6 linked regions of the Rattus norvegicus genome follow. The protein of the gene in region 1 purifies or fractionates together with the protein of each later gene. This does not show direct contact. Links are inferred from orthologs where the notes say so. Each region holds a gene or a part of one and is shown in the gene's direction. Other genes may lie near its edges. The genes, in order: Inava, Cyth1, Sgf29, Cep170, Cyth3 and Cyth2.

Region 1 (5,236 bases):
CGGACCTGTTGAAGAGCCCTCTCCTGTTCCAGGCTCCACACAAAGCTAGCAGCTTTCCAAGTCACTTGGTAAATGGGCCTGAGTAATGCATTCAAATCCCCGGACTCCAAATAGACCCACTAAAAGTCGTGCTTCTTTCTTGGTGGTGGAAGGGGCCGGGTTTAATAACTTATCTTTCACTTTAGAAGGAATATCTCTGCAGGCCCACACCACTAGACTCCTAGGAATTTCACTGAAATAAACAATCCTTGAATTTTGGGATTTATTTCCCATCTTCTGATACCCATATGTATTACCAATGAGTCCAGAGTGGTTACTACTCCTGATCACTTGGTCTAATCAGCATAATGTCGTCAATTTAGGGCACCAGTATGATATTCTGTAGAAGCGACAGACGGTCGAGATACCTTCTAAGTTATGACACTGGGCAGGAGAGTTAATATATCCTTGAGGCAAAATTGTAAAGGTATACTGCTGGCCTTGCCAACGGGAAGCAGATTGCTTCTATTGGTCCTTATGGACAAGTACTGAGAAGAAGGCATTTGCTAGATCAATAGCTGCATACTAGGTAGCAGGAGATATCTGAATTTGCTCAAGTAATGAAACTGCATCTGGTACAGCAGCTGCAATCGGGGTTACAACCTGATTTGGTTTTCCATAGTCAACTGTCATTCTCCATGATCCATCTGTCTTCTGCACTGGCCAGATAGGAGAGTTAAAGGGAGATGTGGTGGGAACCACCACCCCTGCATCTTTCAAGTCCTTGGTGGTGACACTGATTTCTGCAGTCCTTCCAGGGATATGATACTTTTTTAAAAAAAATTATTTATTATTCTATGTATATGCGTACACTGTAGCTATCTTCAGACACACCAGAAGAGGGCATCAGATCTCTTTACAGATGGTTGTGAGTCACCATGTGGTTGCTGGGAATTGAACTCAGGACCTCTGGAAGAGCAGTCAGTGCTCTTAACCGCTGAGCCATCTCTCCAGCCCACAATACTGTTCTTGATTCACTATTTTCTTTGGCAGAGGCAACTCTGAAGGCTTCCATTTAGCCTTTCCAACCATAATAGCCCTCACTCCCCAGAACAGGGAACCAATGTGAGAATTCTGCCATCTTCTAAGTGTATCTATCCCAATTATACATCCTGGAACTGAGGAAATAACCACAGGATGAGTTTGGGGACCTACTGTGAGTTGAACATTAACCAAATCTCCATTAATCACCTGTCCTCCATAAGCCACTGTGGCAGGCCACAGTATTTCTTGGGATTTCCTGGGATCAGTGTCAGTTCAGAACCAGTATCCAATAGATCCAGGAAAGTCTTTCCCCCAGTCTTCTGTAACTGTCAAAACCTTCTCTCTCCTCTCCACCCCTATCTTAAATCTCCTACAGCTCGAAGGTCCTGCTGAGTTCCTTTGCCAAGATGTCTTGTACATTCTGCCTGACAAGGTCCCTCTTTAGAAAGCACACTCGTCTGGCCAGGCTCTGGGGACGCGCAGCCTGGGTCAACATCCACTATCCTTTGGTTCTTTGGTTTTCAAAATCATACTAGCTTTATCTAGACTTAAGAACCCTCTAGTGAAGGAGTCTGGACTTGGAACCGCCATGCTTGGCCCTGACAAGGGCAGCACAAATGTAAACAGAACCAACGGAAAAAAGGAAAGCGCAAGTTTGAATGAATGGACGGTTTCGCGGGCTCGTCGCAAGCAGCAGGAGGCGCTGCCCGGAGTGAGTGCCTTGCCTCCGAAGCCGGAGTTCTGCCCGCCGCCCCCAAAAGGGACACGGCTGGGAACTCAGGAGGCGAGGCGACCAAGATTCGATCGAGCCGCAGTCCCTGGCCGCCAGAAGGGATAGGCGAGGGGGAGGGGCGCGCCGTCTCCTTTCATTCTTCCACGCTAGGGTCTTCGGAATGAAAACTGCCCCCAGCCGGGCCAGAGCGAGGGGATGAAAGGCGGCCCCTAAGACCTCTAGTCGAGCCTCGTCCCGCCCAGACTTCAGAAACCGGTCTAGCAGGGGGTGTCCCATCACGCGGCTGCCCGAATGCGGGAGATAGGGGGCAGCGTCGTCCCTCGCGATGTTGCTCCCGCAGGGTGCACACTGGGGCTGGCACCGTTCCAACACAACGTGAGGCCCCGCCCCGTCTCTTGGATCAGAATCTCGAATCTCTTCTAGCATTTTCCCCTCTCTCCACAGGGCCTTTGGTATGCCCCAGGGGACAGATGTCTTGGGATCTTTAACATTTGGGATGCTGCAAATGCCGAAGTTAAATGAAATACCTCCGGGGAGGGGAGGACCGGGGGAGCCTTGGGGAGAGGGAAGATGGGCGGGACCAACAGGTCCTGAAGCTGCGCGACGGGCTCAGGGGGCGCGGGGGCAGGCGCGGGGCGCCAGAGCTCGGTGGGACAGGTAAGGCAGAAACTTAGTGAACGGAGCGCGGGAGAACTGGGGGGAATCGAGCTCCTGAACCTCGGTCTTCATCCTCTGCAGAGGGAGTCTTGCAGGGAAAGGGGGTAATTTTTCCAAAGGGTTGAGAATTCCCGGATTTCCACCCCAAAGCCGTTTCCAACCGCCAACCTTTCTCCTTCGACTCTCTCCCCGGACCGGTGGATCTCCTGGCCAGGTTCCGAGAAGGCAGAAAGCAGGCAAACAAAAGAAGCCCGAGTCCCAGGCCAGCCTGGAAGGAGAGGGCGCGGTGGGGGAGGGGCTGGGGGGGCAGGACAAAGGGGTTTTTTACGGAGAGCCTTAGAGGTTTATTTCAGGGTGCATCTTCTGTTACCTCGAGTTCTCCATCCTAGCTTAGTTGAGGTGAACACCATTCCTAGTGGCCAGAGAGGAGAGTGGAGAAAGCAAACGAGATATTCTTCCACCTCTCCTGCCCAGAGAGTCCCCGACTATTTCCCGTGGTCCCCCCCCCCCCGCCCCGGCTGTGAGTTGCTGGGACTGGCCATTGATTTGTAATTGCGGGAATGCTGGTGGCTGTACTTTGCTGAGTGCTGTGGTAAGGTTGAAGAACTTGGTTTAAAAAAAACTTTGACTCCTAAAGTATCACAGGAAACTTGGAAGCAACTTTAGGGGCAGCGGAGAGAGTGGAGTATGTTTGGTTACAGGTCTGTGCAAGAGTTTGGACGCGAAAGGTTTTGAAGAGGTGGTTTTCGTGGAAAGGGCTGCCTTCTAGATGGAATTCCACTGCAAGGAAACCTCACTTCTTCACCTGTCCTTGTAACTAGTGCTCTGGGATCTGGGATCAGGGAAAGTGTCAGCTACCTGCTTCCTAGAGTTGGGTGCTGAGTTCCAAGTTCCATGCTACCTCCGGATCACCTATCCTTTGGTGTTGTCTTCCCTCAATACTCATCTTGACCGGAGGACTGTTGGCTTGTCAGCCTAATTCCAAACCCTAGATTCTAGGGGGTTGGGGAATACTGAGTGTAGACTTGGAGTATTTAACAGTTAAGGATCAGTGCAAGCAGGTTGGTCTGTAAGTCCAATACTGAGCGACGGACTGCTACCCATCTTCAATGGAGGCCCGTGCCAGCGCTGAGTTTCTGCAAAAAGAGAAAAAGCTCAGCTGCACAGCTGACCTGCAGGAGGCCCTGAGGAGAAGTCTTCCTCCCTGATCGGTGGGCAGAGAAGAGTGAGGGAACTGCTGATTGGCTGCCGGGCTTGCCTCTTTGCAGGTTGCATATTTCTTGGGGTGGGTTTGGGTGGCGGTTATGTTCTGCTAGAGGGGATTTGGGTTTATGATGTCAGTGACCCGGCTTCTGCTCAAGTCCGTTCTTGAAAAGCTGGTTTTTGAGCACTGAGAATCATTAGTGAAGGCCTGGAGGCTTTTCCTGGAAGACAGTTTAAAGAATTTATGTCCTGGTGTGTACAGGCCTTAACCCGATTTTGCTTTTTGTCCCTGAATTCAGATGAGGTTACCTGAGGCCAGAGTTCTCAGTTGAGTCTAAAACTTACACCTCAGGCAGCAGCAGCAGTAGCAGTGCCTATGACTTTCCCTTGAGGTCGGTTATATGTAAAGAGTTTCATTCATCGGTTGTTTGGGACGACCCGTTGCTGGGTCCTGTTTAATGTTAACAATGAAGCGTACGTGATATGTTTTTATAGTTTCAGAACTGTATTTCAGCATAACCGGACTTCGTAATTGGCCTCTTAATTTTATACACTAAAAATGGAGCTATTAGCTGATTCTAGAAACTCCAGCACAGTCCCCAGTTGGAGCTGGGGGAGGGGCCTAGGCAGCTCAAGCCCTTTCAGACGCTGGAAGAACACGAAAACCTGTTGGGGGATGGGAAGGGACTTCAGTCTTGTGGAGGACTTTATGGGGGAGATCGGAAGGGCCGTGCGGTTTTTTTGGGAGGTTCAGAGAGCACCACAGTGGGGAGGGTCTGTCCCCTGTGAGGGCCCTTCAGCTTCTGCTTGGAGGAGGTGGTCAGCCTGAGGGACTCTGGGGCTAGCATTGTTTGGAAAGAGGGTGTGTACAGGAATGTGAAGGTATGGGAGGGGGTTTTGTGTGTAGAAGGAATGGGGTTGTTGGTGAAGGGTGGTGGCAGCCTGTGACACGGGAGATGCTTAACAGCCAGCTAGGGCACGGAGAGCGAGGACAGTGTTGCATGGGGGCTGGGAGAAGGAAGCAGCTTGGGTCTATATTGAGACCTGATACCTGGGTCCCAGAGGTGGAGGGTGGGAGGTGAGGAGACAAAGATCTGAGAGATGCAGGCCAGTCCGCTGTATCCTTCTAGCCTCTGGGAGCAGGCAGCAGGCAGCCTCAGCGCTGCTGCCACTCGAAAGCAATGTATTTTAAGCAAATTTTTGTTTGCTTGAGGGTCCATGGACAGAGAGCCCGGAGGCTGACTTTTTGCCTGGACCAAGGTCCATTTTAGTGAGTGTGGAGAGTGAGTTAAGGTTGCTGCTACTGTTGTGTGGAATAGGGAACAACTGTAGACTGCAACCGGCGTGTGGTGCTCTTAATGTGGCTGGGATTAAAAGAAATCAGCGCTATCTTCTTTCTTCCCAGCGCCCTGGAGTCTCTGCAAAAGCACCCTGGCCTGTTTCTGTTGTCCCTTTGGTTTTGTTTCTTTTCTAGGTCCTTTTCTAGGTGTCTTGGGTTTTAAACCCAAGACCTCTGGCTTGTAGTCGGCCAATGAGTTCCAACAACTCCCAGCAGTCTTTTCCTTCTGTTTTTATTGTTTTTGTTTGCTCAGTCTGTTTGCTCAGGTTTACTCTGTTGCC
Region 2 (4,535 bases), on another chromosome or scaffold:
TGCCTGGCAGCCATAAGCTACAACACTGGATGGCTTGCAGCTGATTCCTGAGGAGCCAGTGAAGTTAGCCAGCCACCCCGTGAGCACCCACAGCCTTCAGAAGCGGCAATTACAGTTGACAGAGATGTGGACGTGTACTACTGGAGTCTGTGCTCTGGGTTAGGGCTTGCCAGAGACAGGGGGAGCTTCAGTAAGGGACTAAACCAAGGAAAAGACACCGAAGGTCCCTGTGGGCAGTTACGTGCCTTGCCATTGCAGGGCTCCAAGGACTGCACTCTGAGAAGTCGCCCTGCAGTTGTTTGTTTGGTTGGTTGGTTTTTGGTTTTTGAGGGGTTTTTTTTGTTATGTTTTTTTTTTTTTTTCTCTCTTTAAGACAGGGTTTCTCTGTGTAGCCCTGGCTGTCCTGGAACTCACTCTATAGAGCAGGCTGTCTCAGACTCAGATCTGCCTGCCTCTGCCCCCAGTGCTGGGATTAGAGGTGTGTACCACTACCTCCCAGCTCGCCCTCCCAGCTTGCCCATCAGCCTTTTCTTGTACTTTTTTGGAAATATAGATCAAAGTAGTATTCCTTGACTTGGGGAAAATGTGGTTAGATAGCCTGGGACTCATACCAGTCCTGAACCTCAGTCAGCCTGGCCAAGCATGGTAGGCTCATGTCTATAATCCCAGCATTTGGAGGTGGAAGCAGGAGGATCGTTATGAGTTTCAGGCCAGCCTGACCTACGCAGTGAGTTTTAGCCCAGCCTGAGCTACAGAGTGAACCCATGTCTCAACCTGGGAAAAAAAGAAAAAAGAGGAGGAGCAAGGGACTTTTTACCTTGGGGTCTGGCTAGTGCCGACGGCTCATTGGCCCCTAAAGGTGGCAGCAGCACATGAGTTCTTCCTGAGCAGCTCATTTGCTCGGAGACTAAAGCCCAGCTTGTCCCGGTTCTACACGTATGAGAGGTCCAGAATTTGGCAGATGTGTACACCAAAGGTAGGTCAAGAGTTAGTTCCCCAGTGGGCTGGAGAGAGGGCTCAGCGGTTAAGAGCACTGACTGCTCCTCCAGAGGTCCTGAGTTCAATTCCCAGCAACCACATGGTGGCTCACAACCATCTGTAATGGGACCTGATGCCCTCTTCTGCTGTGTCTGAAGACAATGACAGCATGCTTACATAAAACAAACAAATAACTAAATCTTTTTAAAAAAGAGTTCCCCTGGGCTGGAGAGATGGCTCAGCGGTTAAGAGCACCCGACTGCTCTTCCAGAGGTCCTGAGTTCAATTCCCGGCAACCACATGGTGGCTCACAACCATCTGTAAAGAGATCTGGTGCCCTCTTCTGGTGTATCTGAAGACAGCTACAGTGTACTTATATATAATAAATGTAATAATATTTATATATAATAAATATTATATATTATATATAATATTTAATATTATATATAATATTAAAAAAAAAGAGTTCCCCTGAGTTGAAAGAGGAATGTGGGTGAACAGGAAATGACTGTGGGGAATTTTGTTGGACTGATAAAAGTTTTCTGAAACTAGTTATGGCAATTGGTAAGCTTATTAAAAGCCCTTCAGGTTTACATATAAAACAGGCAGTTCCACAATGTGTAGACAGCAAAGTTTAAGAAGAAGAAATTCTAAGAGAGGCTATGACTCTAGAGAGAAGGAGGCTTCAGCTGAGCCGGGCTGACCTGTGTGGATGGACCACATTGCTTCCTTACCCTTTTAGGCCTGTCTTCCCACACTGTCAGCACCACATATAGGCTGCTCCAGCCTCCCAGACGTCCTGCCGCCAGAGCACTAACAGCTACACTTGTTTTTCAGGAAAAACATGCAGAGGAACAAACAGGTAGCCATGGGCAGAAAGAAATTCAACATGGATCCTAAGAAGGTAAGCAGAAGGAAGTGACAATTGCCAGACTATTACAGTGGGGCAGGGCCGTGGGGACCTCGGTCTAAGCTGCTCTTCTCTGGAGTAAATGTCAGCTCTTGAGGCTGGGGCTCTGGTTTCTGACTTGAGTCCCCTGTCCCAGTGTCCGGTGGTGGGTGTGTGCCGACACAGGCGCCAGGGCCCACACTCATTCTCCAACCTCTGAGCCAGCATCTCTGCTCTTTCTGACCTTGGTGCAGGGGATCCAGTTCTTAATCGAGAATGGCCTGCTGAAAAACACTTGTGAGGACATTGCCCAGTTCCTGTATAAAGGGGAAGGGCTCAACAAAACAGCCATCGGTGACTACCTTGGGGAGAGGTGAGGCCTTCAAAGCTGGTGGTCAGAACCATGGGAAGAAATAAGCTCCCTGCTGCCTAAGTCATGGGGTGGGGACTGTGGTAGGGCAGCTGGCACCACAATGGTACTGAGTGGAATGATTAACCTACTTGTCCCGGGGCATAGAAGCGCCTTGCTTGTTTAGTTAGCAAACAGCCAGGCAGACAGCCTCCTGACTGGATGGCCAGGCTTAGAGGTCTGATGGGCTGGGACTCTGGGGATGCCATCTGCTTGTGATCAGGATGGGTCTTGTTCAGTGTCGGGGTCTGACGTGTGCTTCCTTCTGTCTCTTGTCTGTCCTCTGATAGAGATGAGTTCAGCATCCAGGTCTTGCATGCATTTGTGGAGCTGCACGAGTTCACCGACCTGAACCTCGTCCAGGCCTTGCGGTGGGTGTTGTCAGCAGGTCCCGTGGGGCAGGAGTATTCTATCCTGTGTGCTATTCCATCCAAGCCTGTCGATGGAGGTTGTTGTGACTGTCATAAAGTATTTTCCAGGGAGGCCATGTACATGCCTGTGTGGGATAGCATTCACTAGGATGGTTTCTTGGTCTTGGGAATGGAGGGGCTGTTAAGACCTTAAATACTGAAATTAGTTCTACTCTTCAGAATAGAAAGCCCTTTCATTTCTTACCCTATAGGTAGCCGTGTATTTCATTTAAAAGAAAGAAAGAAAGATAGAAAGGAAGGAAGAAAGAAAGAGGGAGAGAAAGAGAGAGAAAGAAAGAAAGAGAGAAAGGAAGAAAAGAAAAAAATCAACTATTTTTTCCCCTTGGAGACAGGGTTTCTCTGTGTGTCCCTGCCTGTCCTGGAACATACACTGTAGAGCAGGCTGGGCTTACACTCAGAGCTCTGCCTGCCTCTGTCTCCCAAGTGCTGGGATCATGGGCAAGCTCTACCGCCACACAGCTCAGCTTTAACTCTTTATCAAGCTTGGTTTGTGCCCTTTAGAGACTTTTCCCTGCTCTAGGTATAAATCCTAGGATGACTTTTTGAGCTCTGAGTTTTAAGGACACAATATTGCAGCACTAAACCTGTGGCCATGAACAAATGTGACCCACAGGGTTCCGTAGTGAATGCCCTGGATGGACCTTTCTTTCCCTTAGAGTTCATTTTAAATGATTAACATCTGTCTTACTTTTGTATCATCTTCTAGAGAGGGGCTGTTCTTCTTGGTGTCTCAGTTCAGCTAAGGCCACAGTGGTGGGCAATGGTTACATTTGCTTCTGTTCAGTTTCTGTGACTTCTGTGGACTGGAGCCCCCACTTCCTTCACCCTCTGATATTAAAGCCACACTAGCAGCAGCACAGGTCAAAACAATGCTCCTGTCTTTACCCTCAGGCAGTTCCTGTGGAGCTTCCGGCTCCCTGGAGAGGCCCAGAAGATTGACCGGATGATGGAGGCCTTTGCGCAGCGGTACTGTCAGTGCAATACTGGGGTGTTCCAGTCTACAGGTGAGTGGGGGAGGGAGGGAGAGCTAAGACAAGAGGCCGAGTCCATGCCAAGAACAGTTACTTAATGGTGGGCATAACCTTGAAAGATTCAAAGCATCCAGAAGACCAGCCCTGAGCTACAGTGAACACTTGGTGTGCTTAATGGAGGAGTCTTGCCTCATGTGATTGCAAGCACTGGGTTCAGAATTATAAAACATGTAACTCTTAAAGATGTCTCAACATTGGGCAGTGGCAGAGGCAGGCAGATCTCTGAGTTGAAGGTCAGCCTGGTCTACAGAGCAAGTTCCAGGACAGCCAGGGCCACACAGAGAAATCCTGTCTCAAAAGCAAATTTATGAATATAGTTAGCTAGGCTACTTAATCAAGACCTTGCCTTAAAAAGAAAGAAAAATCATGTTCTTATGAAGATATTCGCATGGGAAAATGATAAGATTAACAAAAAGCCACCCACATGTGTGTATATGTGTATACCTGTCCCCTATGTATATATGTATATGTATATACCTATCCCATATATATACATACATACATACACACCCATGCATATGCTCAGGTGAGAGTACATCACAGTGTCTGTAAAGTGATTTTATAGGTACATTTATACAGGAGAAATAAAGCAGACCATATTATTACTAAATAGAATTGCATTTAATTTTTTTCCTTTTTTATGCATTGTATTGGTCTGAGGTTTTGTTGTATAGCCCTACCTGGCCCTTTATAGACCAGACTGTACTGGAACTCTCAAGAGATCTGCCTTTTGAGTATTGGGGCTAAAGCCAGGCTCCACTGCTCCCAGCCATTTTATTGTTTTCCTATTCTTTTAT
Region 3 (5,276 bases), on another chromosome or scaffold:
CTTGGCTGTCCTGGACTTGCTTTGTAGACCAGGCTGACCTCAAACTCACAGAAATCTACCTCTTCTTCCTGAGTGCTGGGATCAACGGCATATGCCACCATGCCTGACTTCTTTCTTTCCAGACTAGTCTCACTGGCTAGACTGGAACTCTCTATATAGAACAGGCTAGCCTCAAACTCATAGACATCTACCTGTCTGTCTTTCAAATGCTGTTAATTAGCTTTCCTATGTAGTTCAAGATCACCTTTCAAGAGAATGGTGCTACTGGTAGTGGGCTAGGATTAACATGGTAACATGGTAGTGCACTCCTATAATCCTACAATCCGTTAGACAATTCTCCACAAGCCAGGTCTGTCTGGGGAAATTCCTCAGTGAAGACGGCATTGTCCAGTGGCTCTAGCCAACTTGATTGTTAAAATTAACCAGGGCACCTGACTAGCCCTAATTCAATGAAAGAAAATTATTTTTTCAAACTTTAAAAATGTTGTGTCTGTGTGTGGGTATGTGCCCGTGAGTGCAGGTGCCAAAGGCAGGCAGAAGCATCAGTACCCTTAGGGTTAGAATTACAGACTGTTATGAGCCACCAGTGTGGGCACTGGAAACTGTACTTGGGCTCTTTGTAAAAGTAGTATATGTTTTTAATTGCTCAGCATTTCCCAAGCCATATATATATATATTTAAAATTTTCCTTGTTAGTCTGGGTGCTAAAATAGTTTGTGTTAAAATTTAAGGGGCTGGGGATTTAGCTCAGCGGTAGAGCGCTTACCTAGGAAGCGCAAGGCTCTGGGTTCGGTCCCCAGCTCCGAAAAAAAGAACCAAAAAAAAAAAAATTTAAGGTTTGCTAATAGAAAAATATCTGATAGCTTGTTGTGTGCCAGACACAGTGCTATATACTGGGAATGTCTAAAGATCTTGACCTTATAGCATTTGTAATTCTATCAGAGAATAACAATATGTGATTATAGGCTTTAAAAGACTTTCAAAACTAATTTTTGTTCTATGTATAGGTGTATATGTATCCATGCAGTCCCCTCTGAGGCCAGAAGAGGGCATCAGATGCCTTGGAGCTAGAGTTAGAGGCAGTCTGAGCCAGCTGATGTGAGTACTGGCATTCTAATTCTGGTGATCTTTCATTTATTTATTTTAAGGTATGAGTACACTGTCACTCTCTTCAAAGACACCAGAAGAGGGCATCAGATCCCATTACAGATGGTTGTGACACACCATGTGGTTGCTGGGAATTGAACTCAGGACCTCTGGAAGAGCAGTCAATGTTCTTAACCACTGAGCCATCTCTCCAGCCCGCAGCAAGTATTCTTAACCACCAAACCATATTGACTTTTTAGGTGTTATGTATGATACATTAGGATAGATAGTTGGAGTGGAAGTAGTCCCTAGGGATTGAGACCAGAACCATGCTAAGCAAGTGTCCTACCACTGCATTAACTGCCCAATCCACAAAGTAGGCATCCAAAGAATACCTTTATAGCTAAATGTTTGCATGTCCATATTTTTTATTTGCTGGGAAGATTCTGTAAATTATGAGTTCTAAACCTAAGACTGCTTATTTGGAATTTAAAAGTATTTTTAGATAAATTTTAAATTCACAGCAAACTTTAGCTTAAAGTACAGAATTCTCATATGCTTCCTGGGGGCCCTCCTTCCCTATCCCCAATAATCTGAAGTGGTTTTGTTGTTTTCTTCTGGTGCTAAGGATCCGATCCCATCACTTCCCACATGTTAGGCGAGGCTTCACACATGCTTTTCTGGTCCTTTGATTTATATGAAAGTTTTCGAGGGACATAAAAAACAAACAAGAACTCTGACCTAATAAATTGAGTACATCAAGGCACAAGTATCGAAGAACTACGTTTCCCAGGGTGCAATGCAGCACGTCACAGAGAAGTACCCGGCATGCGCAGAGGAGTCCTCCGCGCTCGACCGCGCTCATAAGAGAAACAGCGTGTGTGGTTCTTGACGTGCCGCGAACCTTCGAACGTAAGTGCGGGACTATCGTGTGAGGAAACGTTCCAGTGATTCGCTCTTCCCGCCATCGCAGTTACCAGCGCGACGTGCTGTTTTTCCCTGGGCTCGGTAGGTGGGACGGGGCCATGGCAAGGTACCTCCACGCAGCGCGGGAACGAAAGGCCAGCGTTCCTGCCCGGCGCCCGGCTCTCTGAGGCGGCTTCTGCGGAAACGCGCACGCGCCCTGGACGGGGAAGGGGGCGGGCTGTGGGAGCCGGCGCCCTGGGGTTTGCGCGTGCGCCCTACATCTCTGGAGAGGTGGGAAGCCGCTGGAGCTGACTAGTCTAGAGGCCGGCACCTGGTGAGGTCCTTGGTCCCAGACATCAGCACAGTTTACTACTTTCTTATTGAGAGGGACACTGTAGCCCAGCCTGGCCGTGAGATCGCAGTCCTCCCTCAATCCCAAGTGCTGAGATTACAGACTCCACAGCCCTAAAGGTGTCCATTTTCACAACAGTAACTTCATCCACTCTGTAGCTCACTCATCTGTCGGCTGACACATGTATCCTAGGACGTCTGCGTCTACTCATTAGCACATTCACCTGCCTCTCTAGGGAGGCCTTGTCTCATGCTGTCTCACAGAAACAGCTCTGTCAAAGCCGCCTTGAGTTCTGGATTCCCAAGTTCAGTGATAATGGCTTGGTAGCATCCTCTTTCATTGCCTCGGTCCTCTCTTAACCTAAAGAACTCTTGCTTCCATTTCTTCATCTTTAATGCTCGTACCTTCAGAATACATAAACCCTAATCTTGCCTTTTTTCTGTTCACTCCCTGGGCATTGTCTATTTCACACTTTAAATAAATAAAATTTATTTTGGTGCACTCAACTTTCTTTTTTTTTTTTTTTTTTTTTTTTACATATTTTTAATAATTTTATATAGGTTCACTGGTGCTGTCTTCAGACACACCAGAAGAGGGCATCAGATCCCATTGCAGATGGTTGTGAGCCACTCTGTGGTTGCTGGGAATTGAACTCAGGACCTCTGGAAGAGCAGTCAGTGCTCTTAACCACTGAGCCATCTCTCCAGCCCTTGTTTTTTTTTTTTTTTTTTTTTTTAGAGACAAAGTTTCTCTGTCTAGCCCTGGTTGTCCTGGAACTCACTCTGTAGACCAAGCTGGCCTTGAAGTCAGAGATCCAGCTGCCTCCGCCTCCCAAGTACTGGTATTAGTGTGCAACCACTGCCAGCTTCCCCGGGTGATTTAGATGTCAAGTTAAAACTAGCCGTCATGTGCTTCAGTGCTTTTTCATCCCGAGAGTAAATACATGGGATGTGTGCATTGCATGCTGAAGGGGGTGCACTGGGAGCAATGCACTGGGAGGTGTTTATCCTAAGACAGGACACGGTGCTCTTACACAGCTTAGATTATCAGCCTACTACACACCAAGTCCACATGGCATAGCCTGCCACTCCATATGTAGCATGTTACTACAGCAAATACTATAAAGGTGGTTTCCACAAAATGAAAAGTATTTGAGTATCTATACAGAAACAGTTCAGTAAAATACTAGGTGAGGGCCAGTGAAGAGGCTCAGAGGGTAAAGGAAGTTGTCACTAAGCATGACAACCTAAGCATGACCCATGTGGTAAGAAGAAAACCAGTAAACACTGTGGCATATGTACACCCATACTCAATAAATAAATGTTTAATAAGAAATAATGGGGTGATGAAAGTGTTTTGGGTTTATAATCTCATACATCTTTTTGAGCATTATAATCTCATGGGACTACATCATGTTCAATCTTTTTTTTTTTTCTGATGTATTCTTTGGCATGTGGCTCTATTTGTTTAATATGTGTCCATTCTGCATTGTCCTTTCACTACTGCATATCCCTTATGTCTTAGGTAATTAGTAAATGCTGCTGAATGGAATTATGAAAGGGCATAATTTCTCTTTTCTGCATGGGGGAAGTAGGTAGTCTCTCACGGAAGATGTTAGTACTTAACATGGAGACAGAGGAGACCTTGAGTAGCTCAGCTTCAAACCCGTTTCAGTGTTCTAAGTTGAAAGACTGCTTGAAGGGTGTTCAGGACTCAGCTCCATTCAGCAACCTGATTTGACAGCAGTATGTGCCAAGGCCCGGCAGAACAGAAAGATATCTAGAGTAGCAGCCTGTATGCTCCATGCTTGTCATCTGGTAGGAGAGCTGTCAGTGAAGCAGTTCATCATTTACATGAGTGACAGGTGCAAGAACAGAAGTTTACTGTGAAGACTGAGGCTGGAGAAATGTGAGTTCAGTGTCAGCCTGAACTGCACAGTGAGACCCTGCCCCTAAAGCAATAAAAGAAGCTTGGTATGGTGGCACGCACCTTTTAATCCCAGCACGGGGGAAGCAGAGGCAGATGAATCTCTGGGAGTTCCAGGTGTAAATTCCAGGGCAGTTTGAGTTGCATACTAAGACTGTGTCTCAAAACAACAATAAAAACATAACAAAACAAGAATAAAGTTTAAATGCAGTGCTTAGGCACTTTCCTGAAGTTGTGATTGGCCATAGACGAGGGCAAATGGAGGAGCCTGTGGCTGTTTGGGAGCTGTGTTGTCCTCCCCCAGCTTCATATGTAAATATCATGTTCTTGGGTTGCAATGTTGATAAGCTCAACTTGTTGAATTTTTTTTTTAATTTTTAAATTTTTATTTTTTGAGACAGGTTTCTCTCTATGTATAGCCCTGCCTGTCCTGGAACTTGTTCTGTAAACTAGGCTGTAGACTGTGATTTAAATCTTGAAAGTTGAATAAGTTAAAGTGACCTAGAAGGGAAGAAGAGAAGGATCAGGGGCACTTGAGGCAGACAGAACAGGGAAGAGTGTGTGCTTGTTTGGGGTGAAGAAGGTGTAGACTCTGGTTATCCTGGGTAGTGTGTATGATTAGTCAGAGAGATCAGGTGAATCCTTGGTTTTACTCCCAACTTTCTGAAGCTAGAAGTAGGGACATAGATACCCCTATCGCTACAGATTTCTAAATGTGTGTGGAGATTCTTTTTTTTTTTTTGTTCTTTTTTTCGGAGCTGGGGACCGAACCCAGGGCCTTGCACTTCCTAGGCAAGCGCTCTACCACTGAGCTAAATCCCCAACCCCGTGTGTGGAGATTCTTACAAAGTTTTTTTTTTTGTTTGTTTGTTTTTTTTTAAGATTTATTTATTTATTTTATGTATGTGAGTACACTGTAGCTGTCTTCACACACACCAGAAGAGGGCATCAGATCTCATTACAGATGGTTGTGAGCTACCATATGGTTGCTGGGAATTGAACTCAG
Region 4 (5,318 bases), about 41 Mb from region 1:
AGTGATCTGTAATTGCTTTGCTTCTGGTCTACCCCATTAATTCAAAGACTCCACGCCATAGAGATTTGCGGCCCATTCCTCACCTAGTGAGACTAACTCAAATCAGACGTTCAGTTATTATTTGTGGAGTAATCCAGGTTATAAATGATTCAGTATTTTAACTGTTGGGCATAGCATATAGGGCTTATGAAAATGCAGAACAGGAAAAAGTACGTCATCACCTGTAGAATAAAGTCTTTCATCAAATTTTTACTTTCTAGGTCCCACATTTACTTGCCCATCTCTTTCCTTCTTTTCCACATGCCAGGCAAGCACTCTAATACTGAGCCTCATTCTAAGCCCCTGGCATGCATTTCTTGCTACGGATTAACGATTTTTTTAAATCGTTAATAAATAAATAAATCAGTTTTGTGTTCATTATTTGTCTTGTTCATTTGTTCTCCATAATAACTATGATGTAGTTGACATTATAAATTCACTAAACAAAGTCTCAGGTTTCCAGAGGTTGCTCACGTTGTTGAAAGAACAGAGCCAGCTAGCTGTATGACTTTGCCAGATAATCATTCTTCTGGTACTTTGCTCAGAAAACCTGAAATTAAGTAAAACAGGCTTCAACTATAGGAATTGTGACTTGATTAATAAGAAAGGCATAGGCTTTGAAGGTGGATAGGCCTGAATTCAATACCTGCCTTTGCCACTACCAACAAGAGGTGTGAGTTTTGGCCTACAACTCAACCTCTCTGAGCTTTGGTTTCCTGACAGGTAAAATGGGATCATTAGTAAGATAAAGTTTCAAATGCTTAGCTACAAGAAAATAGTGTAGATAGATTAGTATTGTATTATTTCAAATAACTGTTAGTGTTTTGTTTCTTGTTTTATACATCAGACCTGCTGTACTACAACCAAAATCTACGTGTGTAAAATTTATAAATAAGAAATTTATTGGATTTAACAGCAACAGTATGGCAACAGGGTAGAAGTGACATGGAGCTGCCCATGAGTTTGTGCTGGCACTGGTTGATAAGACACCTAAATCAAGATTTAGGTTCCTTGTTGGGTCAGGTAACCACAAGAATCAGAGGTAACAGTGCTACTTAATCCTAGAAGCAAAACTAAAAGATTTGATCCATAAGATCAGTGCAATATCCGTCTTCGTCCTCCTCAGCCTGGGTAGTGCTCATGGAAAGTGTCTGGAAAAAAACCCAATATTGCCCATGGTACCTAGGAGCTCCTAAGCATCGAGATTCGGAGCAACTCACCCCGGAGACTCCGTTGGTATTGCCCCAGACTGTCCTCCAGGGTAGAGTTCCCTGGGGACTTCGCCATGGGGTCAGAGATGGGAGTTATGATGGAAAGTGTCCAGTGCACCCCTCCGAGGACAGGCCTAGCGTTGGGGGTTGGGGGATGCCTGCCTGCTTCCTGTAGCTGCTGTCACTAGGGAGACAGGAACCTCGCACGGGGCTGCTGGGGGCTCTTCCTACCCCCTGGCCCTCATGGTGAACGTCGGGAATTGTAGTTCTTAGGTTCAAGGCTTGTAGCCTCGAGAGTGCTAAGAGCCTTCCAGCTATACTACGCTTCCCAGAGGGCGATGCGCTCGGGCGCCTCTCCGGCAGTTTAGCGGCCTGAGCCCGTTGCCAAGAGACCGGTTGCAGGCCGCGCCCTTTTCTTTTGCATAGCTTGGATTAGTCCCACTGTCCTGCATCCTCAGCCAACTGGATCGACCCGCTGACAGAACGGACCGGGTGAAGGACTTAGACTCTTCAAAATGTGCCGGTGTGGAGTTGACCCCTGAGCCCTCGCAAGGATTCACTGTAAACTCGGTTTCAGTCAGGATTTGTGTCAAAGTTGTTTTTCTCTAGAAAATGAAGTGTAAATCTTACAAACAGCCACTCTGTGAAGGCGGCGGACACTGCAACTCCTAGTTTGCCCAGAGCCCCGCCCTCCGTATGGAATTGGCGCGCTGCCCGCTGGGAATCGTAGTCCTGGTTGGTTGCGGTCCCACTCCAGCCAAGCCGCTCTTCATTGTTCAAGCGGGTCTTGAGGACACGCCTGCGCAGTGGGTAGCTGGGAGAGCGAGTGGGTGAGACCCTCTGCAAAGCCCCCTTTCATTGTCTGGGTCTGGCGCCTGCGCAGTGAGGTATCGCTGGGCCCTGGCAGGAGGAGGGAGAGGGCCTGGCTGGTTGCCCTCTGCGAGGCGCCTGCGCACTGAGCCGCCGCTCGCTGCTGTTCCCGCTATGTGTGGGGCGTGTGTGGAATAACGTTATTGCCCAGCGGAACCGAGGGGGCCCCAGCTCCACAGCGGCGGCGGCGGCGGCGGCGGCGACGACGAGGACGACGACAACGGCGAGGGGGTGGGAGGAGGACAGCGTGGCAGAGACTGACGGGACGCGCCGCGCCCCGCCTCCCGGTCCGGTCCCTCTCTGCGGTGAGGGGTAAGTGATGCGCTCGGGGTCCGCAAGGCTCGGGATTCTGCACATCCTCAGCTCTGGCGGCCGGGGCCGGGGCGCGGCCCGCGGCGGGATGGAGTGCGGGCCTGGAAGCCGAGGGGCGCCACCCGGACGCCCCGCGCGGCCGCCGCCCTCCCCTCCCCCATGGGCTGCGGCCGGCTGCCCGGGGCCGGCTTCCCCTCTGTGCGCCCGGTCCTCTTTTCGCTCTCGCTTTGTGCCGCCGCCGCCTGAGCTGCCTGGGAGCGCTGCGGGCGGAGCGTCGAGGGAATGGCTGCGCGGCCGCTGGGGAAGGGAGTTTACCAGGGCGCCCATCCCTTTTGTAGGGTTGGTTTCGGGGTGTGAGGAGGGTGGCGGCGGTGGGGAGGGGGTCTCGGACGACGAGCCTTCTGATGGCGTTGGGAGGGCGTGGAAGACGTGCTGTCACTCAGCCTGCCGGACGACTGTACCCCACGTAGCCTCTAGCTCTGTAGTAAACCCACGGGAGGAGCTAGTGGCTTCCTGTGGGCTTCATTGTCCCAAGATTCAGTCGTAGGGTTTAGGTCTAGTTCACTTCCATTTTATTCAAGGGGGAGAAATAGCAGCTGCGTGACACGTACGGGAAGATGAGGAATTGTATCCTAAGTCATATGATCTCTGTTTTCTGGTCTTGAGTATAAACTGTCGTCCTGACCCCGGTTCCCCAAAGAATATAAAGACAGGCTATACAGGCTAGAGTCCCAAGTCTGCCGTGCTGATCAATATAAAATTACTAGGTGACAATAAAGGCTGGGCTTACGTAGGGTTTGACAGCGAAGCTGTTGTTTAGCAGGGAAATGAACCAGCAGAATTATTTTTTCCACTGGGTGGGTAATGCGTTCATGTTCCTAAGGGAATACATTAGGATACGCTTAAAGCAAACAAAAAAAATAGGCCAGCTATATTTCAGTTTCTGAAATTGATTTGTTTTCTATTCTGTTAATGAAAATTCAACCACTGGAGAGGAATTTGTTGAAGCAGACAATACATTTACTTGAAAATGCATCCTGTAAAACCGTTTGAAATCGTAAGCTTATGGTATTTGTAGTGTTTTGCCAACCTTGTTGCTTAAAGCAAGCGGACCATAGGATGAAGCAGGATGAGGAGGAGCAAGTGGAGGGATAATGTGAGAGTTGGATTATAAATACAGAACCTAAGTCTTTACCAATAAAGTCCCATGTATTAGCCTTAAGAGACTGAGAAATTCAATACTGAGAAATGGCACGTTACAAGCCAACCAGTCTGTATTTTTGCCATTGTTTTAAAAAATAAAACCCGCGGAGTTTTTAGTTTTTCCTTTTGTTAAGCACTATAAAAAGTTGCTGCCCTAAAACATGAGTCTAAACTGGGCTTACGAGAAACTAAGAGGATACTAACTTAGGCAAAGTTGACTGACTTGTCTGCCAACTCTGAAGCAATGGAAGGCAGAGCCAAATAAAACCAGATCTGTATTGCAGTGTGATCTCTCCTATGTGTGTGCCGTAGTCCTCTGCCCTGCACAGGTCTAGAGAACATATTCTACATGGTCCTTGAGTGGTCTGCATCAGTTAATTCTCACAGTTGTATTAATCTTATCCTTATGTTTCGACATATTATTAATTATGCTGAAGTGGAGCTTGAGTTTTATACACTAAGAGAAAATCTGCTTTTTTTGCTTAAAAAAAAGCTTCCCTGATTATTAACCAAAATGTACTATATGTCCTAATATTTTATAGCATAATCAATTCTATAAACTGTGTTAAAAATAAAATATACATACAAGAACTTAATGATGTTGGTTTTTCTTTAATGGATTATATTCTCAACTCATACTAGAACTCACCTTTTGATAACATTTGGGGGGCTTCTTTTATTAGAGTGGAACTTTTAACATTTAACTTTTGTTCTTAATTCTATTCTATCTTAATATTATTTTTATATTCGATTACAGCCAATTTTTGTTTGTTTGTGGGCTTTGTGGTTTTGGGTTTTTTGTTTTGATTTTTTGAGACATGATTTCTCTGTGTAGCTCTGACTGTCCTAGAACTTTGTAGATAGGCTGACCTTGAACTCAGAGGGATTTGCTTGCCTTGAACTCAGAGATTTGCTTGCTTCTGCATTCCTAGTGCTGGGATTAATGGTGTATATCTTACCAATAAATCTCATGGTATCCTAAAATGTTTTGTGTGGAATACATGATCTTCATGTTTTTTATTTTAGCATTAGAATAAACATCAATATGGCTTCTGCATGCTGATGTAAACAATCAAGGTGGTTTTTAAAATTCTGTAATTAGTAATTTGTTTCACTTTCTTACTACTTTATCTTTACTCAGTTTTATTATTGCATCTGGTAGTGATCAGATATTTCACCTCTGGTGGTAAAAGCTTGTTATTTGAACTTTGTGTCTGTAATGGTTTGCTTTCTTTTTCTCTTTTCCATGTGTGTGGTATATTTGCACGCATGTGTGTATGAATGTTTGCATGTGTTGGAGCATGCATGTTTGCCTGTGCACATAGAAGCCAGAAACTGAAATATTCCTTGATTGCTTTTCTACATCATTGATTCTGAGGCAGAGTCTTCGTTGAACCGATAGCTTATGAATAAAGCTCGTCTCACTAGCTAGCTTATTCCAGAGGCCTCCTATCTTTACTTTCTGAGCCTAACTGTACATCTCTAAGATCACCAGGCCTACTCAGCATTTTAATGGGTTCTGGCCATATGAACCATCTGGTAGTCTTGCTTACTCAACAAGTCCTTCCTTTAACCAGCCCCTGTATGGTTTATTCACTTAATAAAATTCTGTTCCCGATAAGTATTTTTCACTATTTAATGCATAATGATTTTTCTTCAGACTGTTAGGTAGTGTATGACTCT
Region 5 (5,122 bases), on another chromosome or scaffold:
CGAGCAGAAAGGCTCGGGAGGGTACACAGGCAATGCTAAGGAGAGGTTACTGGAAACGAGACATATGGACTGAGAGAAGCAAGCCATAGATTTGGAACAGGGACGAACTGAGGCGGTCTGCCCAGCCCTGGGCTGTGCCCACGGGAAATTGAATTCAGAGCTCCCACTGCATCATAAATCCAGGGCAGCTGGCAGCAACCCAAGAGAGACTAAAGCTCAACTCCAAGGGCATCTGACGCCAGGCCGGCCAACCTCTGTAATCAGGCTTTTTGAGAGCTGGGCCCCAGCTGTGCTGGACTGGGATTAGGGTTCAACGTCATGACTACATTCATTTACAAACCTCGATACTTTGTTAATTTTAAAATGCATCCAATCCGCAGGAAAAAGAGACTCCATTTTCATTATACACGGAAGGGATAAAAGGCTGGAATTACCCTAACATCTTGAGGATGAAGAAGGGAGGAGGTGGGGAGAGGGAGAGGCTTCTTCACAGTGGGCTCATTTTCAGACGATGATGATGACGATTATTATTATTGTTATTATTTCAGACAGGGACTCACTAGGTATCTCTGGCTAACCTAGAACTCACTATATAGACCAAGCCCACGAAGAATTCATAGAGATTTGCTTGCTGTCATCAAAGCATCACACCCAATTTTTATTATTTTTAAAATTATTTTTTAAAATAAACATTTGAAAAAAAAATTATTTAGCTGGGCATGTTGGGTCATCCTTTTCTTTTTCTTTTCTTTTTTTTTTCCCCTTCGGAGCTGAGGACCGAACCCAGGGCCTTGTGCTTGCTAGGCAAGCGCTCTACCACTGAGCTAAATCCCCAACCCCTTGGCTCATCCTTTTAGTTCCAGCATTCGGGTGTCAGAGGCAGGAAGACCTCTGAGTCGAAGGTTAGCCTGGTACACACAGAGAGTTCCATGATATTGAGGGCTATGCAGAGAAACCCTGTCTCAAAAAAGTTTTTCTTTTAAATTTATTTTGTGTGTATAGGTGTTTTGCCCGCGTGTATGTATGCACCACAAGCATGCCTGGTGTCGTTGGAGGCAAGAAGAGTGTTCCAGATAACCCTCATATGAGTACAGGTGTCTTTGGAGGCCAGAAGTATCCGATCCTTTTTGGAGCTGTAGTTACAAGGGTTCTGTGAGTGCTGGAAACAAACTCTGGCTCTCTTCAAGAGCAGAGAGTGCTCTTAACAACAGAACTATCTCCTCACACAATTATTACTGTGTGTATGTCATGTTTGGACGCCCATGCATGCTGCGGTCACAGTAAAACTTATAGTTAGTTCTTTTCGTTGAGCCAATCATCATCAGCCTTCCCTTCCAGATCTTTTCCCACTCCCCTACTCCATGCACTTGCGAGTCGCAACATAGCCATTTGGTTTTGTAGAGCGGGGCGTCCTCGTGCTCCTGATAGACACGGCTTCCTCTCCAGGATGCTCTAGAGGGGCAGACACCAGGTTCGAAGGAGGGTGCAGCGCTGCAGGATCCAAGTCTCTAGGCTAAGCAGCTACTGCAGCTACTGCAAGGCCCGGCGGAGTCTGGAGGGCGGGACCACTAGGCGTCTAGTCTCCGCCCACACCCACAGAGGGGGGCGTGGTTTATGTCACGTGACGGCGCCGGAGCAGCGAGGCTCCGCCCGGCCCTCCGTGGAGGCCCGGCCGCGACCCGGGCCGCGCACGCTGAGGAGCTCCTCCGTTCTCCCCGCGACCACTTCTCCTAGTCCCGGCTTTCAGCCCAGTCGCTCCCGCCGGCTCCGGGCTCGCCGGCTGGCTGGGAGTGGCCTCAAGATGGACGAAGGCGGTGGCGGTGAGGGCGGCAGCGGTGAGTGATGGAGGTGTGGCCGGCTCTCTGGGCGGCCCTGAGGCCGGGGGTCGCGCTGTTGAGAGCCCTGGCTTGAGATGTGGGGCCGGGTGTCGGGTGGGTTGGTGGCGACCGTGGGGAGGTGCTCGGGGTAAGGCCGGGACGCGGGCTTCGCAGCGTTGGTGAGAGGACAAGTCGGAGACCGCAGGGTCGTCGCCCAGCGCGGTAGCGGGTCGCGGGTTCGAGGCCAGGGTCTTCGCTGCACAGCTCCAGGTCGCCTTTCCGAGATGGGAGCACATTGCGGGGCGACCTTCCCAGCGTCTCATTGCCAAGGGCGTCCACGCCCTCCCTAGTCCAGCTGTTTCGGACGGGCCCCTCTCCTTTTCAGCTCTCCTCAGGTGTCTGGAGCTTGGGAGCTCGTGGATGGGGAGGGGAAAGTTTTCAATTTGGACGCCTCGGGGCCCGGGGGTGGGGTCTGTTGGATCGGTCCGGGGGAGAGGAGGAAGGTTGGAAGTCATAACAACGTCTCCGGGTTTTAGATCAGAAGTACTCGTTGGGAATGGCTTAAAGGACATGAGGGACAGGCAGCTCCAGTCCAGGTCTGAGTATGCATTTTTATCAAATAGAAAAAAAAAATGCTACAGAGAAGGGGTGGGGTGCAAAAATAAAGAGGGGGGCAAATAGCTGAATGATAGAATAATTGTCTAGCATGGCCCTGAGTTTGTTCACAACACCACCAAATGGAAAATATAATTAAGAAATTAAAGGGGTCAGGTGGGATCTCTCTAAAGCCGAGGGTGGGAAGCGGGAGCCACAGCCAACAAGGCTGTAAGACTCCAGGACAGGTGTGTGTGGCAGACACCCTTCCTGAGGTGGTTATCATTTCTCAGGGGCAGACACCCTTCCAGAGGTGGGTTATCAGTTCTCGGTGTTGCTCAGGCTCTATGTGCCTGACTTTGAATTCTGTCCTCCTGCAGATGTGCTGGTTGCAAATTACTCAACGGATTACAAATTCCTGTTGTATCATTTCATGAATTTGGTTTCCCAAAACATTAAGAGTCCCCGTTCGTCGAGTGGGTCTTTGATTGAGAAAGCAAGGGGTTAATAATGTACCCATCATTTTTACCCAAACACCCCAAGTTGAAGCTGTCTGGACTTTGAGTAACGATCTTCCTTTTTGCTGACAGAATGATCAGAGTCCCATGTAATAAGGGAGTGTTTAGGGGGGAAAAAAGTCTTAATTACAGGCTGCTGGAGCAGCTGCCTGTAAGAATCAGCAATATTGAAGACTTCCCCGTGAAGTGGTTAATCAAGGTGCCTTCTAGAATTCCAGAGCTTCTCAGATTTTTTTTTTCCTTCTCTGTGAAAGAAACGGGGTGGCTGGGCTGGTAGGAAGTTGGCACTCCTCGTGGCATTTGCCAAGTTCAGTTCTCATAGTAAAAGCCAGGGGTAGCACAGTGGCACCGAGTGGGTGTTTTGTTTGTGAAAAGAAAGAGCCCAGTTGCAAACCCTCCTACAGACCGGCTGCGGGGCTGGAGGCACTGGATCCCTGTGGATGCCTTGCCTTTCGCCTATATCACAGTTTGACATAGTTTAGAAAAGACAGGACAGTGGCAATTGGACATTGGAATCCAGGAAGCTGAATTGGGGACGGCTTTGCAGGTGCTGCAGTCTGTTGAGTCAACATGTGAAAGATTTGAAGGTAAAAGCAGATACAGTGGGGGAAACTTAGAAGCCAATGTGTTTCAGCAGTCCCTGGAATTTGAGAAGTATAATGAAGGTCAATATTAAAGTAGCAGGAAGGCTTAAAGCTATCTCTGGACCATTAATGTCTCTGGATATATTAATGTACCAGAGAAACACTCTTAAAATTAAAAAAAAAAAAAAGATGTTCAGTTCAATGATACTGCACTGTCATGGCCAACAGTTAAAAAATGAGACACAGTAACCGCGACCAGGTAAGGTTACTTCAGGGAGACATTACAAATTGACAGCTGGAGCTCACTCTCCAGGAGCCACATGGTGGAGGAGGGCCCTGCCGCCCACAAGTTGTCTTCTGACCTCCTCAGGCAAGCAGCAACAAGCTTGCGCACACATGCAGTTTTAAAAAGTTACCAAGGACAAGCAGTTCTTTTATACATTCTGATCTAAACAATGTAAATACTGCTGTCATTATGGATTTTCTCTTATATTTCCCAGGTTTTTTGAATAAGAACACATGCTTTCAAATTTAGACCAAAAAAAAAAAAATCTGGGCTTATAAAAGATCCACATATTTTAAACATACAGCGTGATTTAATTCACCTTCCTGGAACATTTGACAACAAAGAGATTTATTGATTTTTTTTTCTTTCCCTGCTGGAATGCCAGACAGTGTGCTATGTGATAGAAAACGGCTTTTTAATTTTTATTGATTCAGCTTATCAAAAAAAAATCTTTCCTGCTCACATTGTGGTAAGATACTTACGGGTGCTTTGGCATCTTTTTTTTTTTTTTCCCGAGAGTTGGGGACCGAACCCAGGGCCTTGCGGCCTGCTAGGCAAGCGCTCTACCACTGAGCTAAATCCCCAACCCCAGGAGAGACCTTTAATCTGCATCTGGGAGCCCTGTTTCAGCTTTCTTAGAAGATTAAAAAAAAAAAAAGCTAAATGTATTCGAATAGTAGTTAGAGCAGAGGGGAAGGTGACTGGCAGGGTTTTCTTTATGGTTAGTGCGTTGGTCAGGCAGAAAGGACTTCAGGGATGGTCGTTTTTATAACTGAACTTCTTGTCCAGGCTTTCGTTATTTGTTCTTTGCAGTGCTCGATAAGGCAAGGATGGCGCATGAATGGCTGGAAGGCGGTTACAAGGAGGGGCGAGTGGGGTACGAGATTACAGGAACACATTGTTCCTTGGACTGTGTGCAGAGTGCAGTGAAGGTGTTTTCCCTTGCCTTGGCACTTGGTACCGTTCAGTTCTTCTAGAACAGTTCTTGAACTAGGCCTCTACTTAGAAAGTAACTGGCTAGTTTGGCTCGGCGCCGTCAGGAGATCCTGGTTTCTGAGTGTGCCACTGGGACAGGTTGAGGGGGTGGGCCTGCCTTGTACCGGATGCGTTCCCATCTGGGTGGATGCGGGCAGTTTGTGCTCAGGTGCTCTGAACTTCAGGGTTCTCAGTAAGCGTGAAGGTGAGCTTGGCTGAGATCTCAACTTTCACCTGTCAGACAAGTGCTAAGCCTCAAGTTTGAAAACAGTGTGTTAAGGCCATTTTAGCCTTCGCTGGCGGCAGTACAGATTAGTCACCGTCTCAAGAAGGGTTAATGTACTCCGG
Region 6 (3,741 bases), on another chromosome or scaffold:
TGGCCCTGACCCCTTTGTAGGGTGCAGGGGAGCTGGTAGGATCACAAAAGATCAGGATCCCCAGCACACAGTAGTTTAGAGGGGGGAGCAAGAAGGCAACTGCCCCACAGGATGGGGTCGAGCTGCTCTGCCAACAGTATTTCCCATTTCTCATCTGAAGAACCTGAGGCTCAAAGGTGCCTTGCCTGTGAGATGCAGGGGTCTGTCATGGGCTTGATCCTGACCATCACAGCTCATGGAAACATCTCTATCCCCACTGGTTCATCCAGAGGCCACAGTAGGCCATCTTGTTACAGACAAGATATGGGTGGGTGGGTTGACATAGATGGCCAGGGGTTTTCTAAGACCACCTGTACTCCTTAGCTCGGAGTTGAAGGTCTCAGGGAACATGTATTTTCTAGAGCCATCCTGGCCAGGCTGAGCACTGTGGGCAGGGGGAGGTGGTGGCTCCACCCCATGTAGATGTAACTGGTTTTCTTCCTCTCTCCCCCTCCCCTTTGCCTGTTCTCTCGCTGTGGCTCTGGCTCCCTGTGCATCCCTTCCCCGACTCCCTATTTCTGTCGCTGCCGGTTCTTGGGGCACCCCATCCCTCCGCCTTCCCTTCCACACCTGGTCCTGCCTGCTTTCTCGCTGTCTGCCCCAGGAGGTAGGTACCTGGTTTTCTTGCCCCCACCCCCCCCCATCAGATAGGGAGAGGCTGCCTTGGCCCAGGGGGAGGGGCTTGGGCCTCTGCCAATAGAATAGCCAGACCCTTTGGCCCAAGCAGGGGGAACCAACTCCTGGGCGCCCCCCCCCAACCCCATCCCGCAGCTTGTCCTTGCCTGCCTGTCTTCCCTCACTGCCTCTGTCCTAGACCTAAGAACCCTACCTTTCCTGCTCTGCTCCCCCCTCCCTAGCGGTTCCCCGCTGAGCCCGGCCCCTCCCACCCCTTCCCTTGCAGGGGGCCGGGTGAAGACTTGGAAGCGTCGCTGGTTCATCCTCACAGACAACTGCCTCTACTACTTTGAGTACACTACGGTGAGGTGGAGCTTGCAGACACAGGCCAGGATGCGGGGGCAGGGTCCCCAGCTCTCATGTAAACCTGAACTCTTGACTTTGCCTCTTAGGACAAGGAGCCCAGAGGGATCATCCCCCTAGAGAACCTGAGCATTCGTGAGGTGGATGATCCTCGGAAGCCGGTGAGACTCATGAGGTGCCCTGTATCTCCATGTACTGACCCAGGGCTGCTCTGACCTGTCCCCTCCCCTGTATTCTAGAACTGCTTTGAGCTTTACATTCCCAACAATAAGGGACAGCTCATCAAAGCCTGCAAAACGGAGGCTGATGGTCGGGTAGTAGAGGGGAACCACATGGTGTACCGAATCTCAGCACCCACACAGGAGGAGAAAGACGAGTGGATCAAGTCCATCCAGTAAGCCTCATTGGGCTGGAGTCTGAGCCAGGAGGGCTGGGCCTGGGCTCGGGCCTGGGCCTGGTCCCCATCACACCTCTTTTTGCAGGGCTGCTGTAAGCGTGGACCCCTTCTACGAGATGTTGGCAGCAAGAAAGAAGCGGATTTCTGTGAAGAAGAAGCAAGAACAACCCTGACCCTGTCCCCAACTCCATTATTTATTTTGGAGCTGCCCCGCCTGGGTGGCAGGACCCCTGGGCCCTGGGGCTGTGGATCCTGGTTCCCTGTTTGGAAAATCACCACCTCTAGCTCCTGACTCCTTATTTGTAATTAACATGTTGGTAATCTTATTAATTATTTAACCCCTCGCGCCTGCAGATGCCCTCATTTCTTGGGTTTGGGAGAGCTGAGAACCCATCCTCCTGACATTAACCAGGACACTGGGCTTCATACAGCATGGAAGGCAGGCACATCCCAGACGGTGACTCCAGCCCTGGGGGTGCCGAGTGGAGGGAGAATCTAATGTCTTAGTGTGGTTTTAGACTCGGCCTACTCTCCATGTGCTCTACCCCACTGGCCTGGCCGCTATGTTCATGTTGGACCTGTGGTCCTTGGGGGACTTAGTCCAGGAGACTAAGACTAGAACAACAGGAGGCTCAGGAGGAGCGAGTCCCAAGAAAACCTGTGTCAGTCCCTAGGAACTGGCTGTGCTGGCCACTGAGTACCCCATGGTGGCCTGGAGGGGCAAGTGGTGTGTGTCATGAGGTACGCGGGATGCCATTGTGACAGTGGCTTCTGACCCCACGTCCAGCCACTTGTGGAGGTGTTTGTTTTTAACTGAAAGGCCTGGGCATGTGTCTCCTGACTCGTGGGAGGGGATCTCAGTGAAGGGATACTGCTGAGTCCCCAAGTGGTCCTGTCCTCTTGTGCTTCTGGTGGAGGAGAGGATAAAGGACCAAATGCCTGCTGCCCACCTCTAGTGGCAGGAAGCTTTTTGTTACTGTTAAGAGTCAAGCCTTGCCACCTCCTTCCAGTGCCAGCATGCTAGACTGCTAGCTGCCCTGCCAGACAGGAAGTAGTAGTTGTAAAGGAATTTGCCTCTTCCCAGCATGCTTTAGCATGCAGGCCTGACTGGGAAGAAAGGATTCTGCCCCAGGGCCTTCTGGGACTTGAGAGTCAGAAGGTGTGTGTGGATCTGCAACCCTGTGGGTGTATGCCCCAACAGCACTGATCTGGATAAATGTGAGCATCCAGGTTCTAATTTAGGTGGGCTTTGGCTCAGACTACTGTCAATAGGCTGTAGTCTCCGGGGTATCAGCTTTTCTGAAGCTTACCTTGACATTGGGAAAGGAGCATGAATTACCTCTCCCCCTCCCTCCAGGGGCTGGTGTGAAATGGAGATTCCCAAATAAAACAACTAAAGTGTCACCCAAAGGGCCAGGAAAGTGCTGGGCAGTGAGTATCAGGTTCTTAGCCGCCCTCTCACCTGTCTTGTTTGCCTCTGGGGTGAACCCAGGACGAGGGAATGGTGGCTGGGAGGTGCTGCCTGGGATATGGATTCCAGTTTCCCATTCGTGGGTGTCCTGAGCTTGGATGCTTGTCTTTCATACTTTACGACCAAGTTGTCTTGGCACAGGAGCTTGCACTGATTGCCAGGATAAGGGGTGGGTTTGAGCTGGACAGTATGTTCTGGCTTACAAGTTAAGGTGACAAAGACATGAGAGCAAAGGAAAACCCAGTGGCAGGGCTCCTCCTCACCCCAGGATCATTGCCTGCCAACTGGTGACTAACATCGGCCAAGGTAAGCTGTGGCTACAGGAGGCAAGAACAGGTTATACAGGCCTGGCTGTGGAAGCTAAGATGTGAGGCAGGAGAATAGTGTGTTTAAATGAAGTGGTGGCTGGGGTGATCTGAGAGTGAATAGAGGGGAAGGTGGAAAGGGAGGAGGTCTCCAGTCCTTGGGGACCCAGTGACTAAAGCAGGAAGCAGTGGAAGAGCCACCACCATGTGCCCAGGGCTGTGACAATCCACCATGCTTGATTAAGGATCTAAAGGGAACACTGCCCAAAGTTTGTGGAACATTCAAGTCATAGCAAAATGCTTAAGCCACCCTTCAGGCCAAGTGTGGAGGGAAAGGGACTCATTTCAATCCATGTGCTAGGTGAGGCAGAAGAATCAAGGTGTTCAAAGCCAGACGGAGTTATGTGAGACCATGCCTTTCCCAGTGCCCACCAACATACCCACATAAGTCCCCAAAGTGTGTGTTTGGACAGGAGGCCACAGAGGGTGCCACGTAGAGATGAATGCAGAGTAGGGGCAAAGCACAGACAAGCCAAGGAGTGCCGACAGTT

Evidence for each region.
Region 2: the proteins of Inava (region 1) and Cyth1 purify together in Homo sapiens (co-immunoprecipitation; 3 studies listed by BioGRID and IntAct, counting the BioPlex papers as one, with this or other methods). This does not show direct contact. The link is inferred for Rattus norvegicus from reciprocal best matches to the Homo sapiens genes INAVA and CYTH1.
Region 3: the proteins of Inava (region 1) and Sgf29 purify together in Homo sapiens (co-immunoprecipitation; 3 studies listed by BioGRID and IntAct, counting the BioPlex papers as one, with this or other methods). This does not show direct contact. The link is inferred for Rattus norvegicus from reciprocal best matches to the Homo sapiens genes INAVA and SGF29.
Region 4: the proteins of Inava (region 1) and Cep170 purify together in Homo sapiens (co-immunoprecipitation; 3 studies listed by BioGRID and IntAct, counting the BioPlex papers as one, with this or other methods). This does not show direct contact. The link is inferred for Rattus norvegicus from reciprocal best matches to the Homo sapiens genes INAVA and CEP170.
Region 5: the proteins of Inava (region 1) and Cyth3 purify together in Homo sapiens (co-immunoprecipitation; 3 studies listed by BioGRID and IntAct, counting the BioPlex papers as one, with this or other methods). This does not show direct contact. The link is inferred for Rattus norvegicus from reciprocal best matches to the Homo sapiens genes INAVA and CYTH3.
Region 6: the proteins of Inava (region 1) and Cyth2 purify together in Homo sapiens (co-immunoprecipitation; 3 studies listed by BioGRID and IntAct, counting the BioPlex papers as one, with this or other methods). This does not show direct contact. The link is inferred for Rattus norvegicus from reciprocal best matches to the Homo sapiens genes INAVA and CYTH2.

The regions. Positions count from the first base shown.
Region 1 is NC_086031.1:50,235,230-50,240,465, reverse strand, and holds the start of Inava (innate immunity activator protein), read left to right. Parts: upstream 1-2,035; 5' UTR 2,036-2,210; coding exon 2,211-2,413; intron 2,414-4,685; exon of another isoform or gene 4,686-5,236. UniProt on the Homo sapiens protein: Expressed in peripheral macrophages and intestinal myeloid-derived cells, is required for optimal PRR (pattern recognition receptor)-induced signaling, cytokine secretion, and bacterial clearance.
Region 2 is NC_086028.1:103,921,098-103,925,632, reverse strand, and holds part of Cyth1 (cytohesin-1), read left to right. Parts: intron 1-1,815; coding exon 1,816-1,882; intron 1,883-2,121; coding exon 2,122-2,240; intron 2,241-2,566; coding exon 2,567-2,647; intron 2,648-3,598; coding exon 3,599-3,711; intron 3,712-4,535. UniProt on the Homo sapiens protein: Promotes guanine-nucleotide exchange on ARF1, ARF5 and ARF6. Promotes the activation of ARF factors through replacement of GDP with GTP.
Region 3 is NC_086019.1:190,667,099-190,672,374, forward strand, and holds the start of Sgf29 (SAGA-associated factor 29), read left to right. Parts: upstream 1-1,929; 5' UTR 1,930-2,094; intron 2,095-5,276. UniProt on the Homo sapiens protein: Chromatin reader component of some histone acetyltransferase (HAT) SAGA-type complexes like the TFTC-HAT, ATAC or STAGA complexes.
Region 4 is NC_086031.1:91,282,898-91,288,215, reverse strand, and holds the start of Cep170 (centrosomal protein of 170 kDa), read left to right. Parts: upstream 1-2,225; 5' UTR 2,226-2,432; intron 2,433-5,318. Other genes in the region: Sdccag8 (serologically defined colon cancer antigen 8), read right to left, coding at 1,260-1,326.
Region 5 is NC_086030.1:16,043,987-16,049,108, reverse strand, and holds the start of Cyth3 (cytohesin-3), read left to right. Parts: upstream 1-1,680; 5' UTR 1,681-1,801; coding exon 1,802-1,835; intron 1,836-5,122. UniProt on the Homo sapiens protein: Promotes guanine-nucleotide exchange on ARF1 and ARF6. Promotes the activation of ARF factors through replacement of GDP with GTP. Plays a role in the epithelial polarization.
Region 6 is NC_086019.1:105,418,725-105,422,465, reverse strand, and holds the end of Cyth2 (cytohesin-2), read left to right. Parts: intron 1-938; coding exon of another isoform or gene 939-940; coding exon 941-1,017; intron 1,018-1,106; coding exon 1,107-1,178; intron 1,179-1,256; coding exon 1,257-1,411; intron 1,412-1,499; coding exon 1,500-1,587; 3' UTR 1,588-2,835; downstream 2,836-3,741. UniProt on the Homo sapiens protein: Acts as a guanine-nucleotide exchange factor (GEF). Promotes guanine-nucleotide exchange on ARF1, ARF3 and ARF6. Activates ARF factors through replacement of GDP with GTP.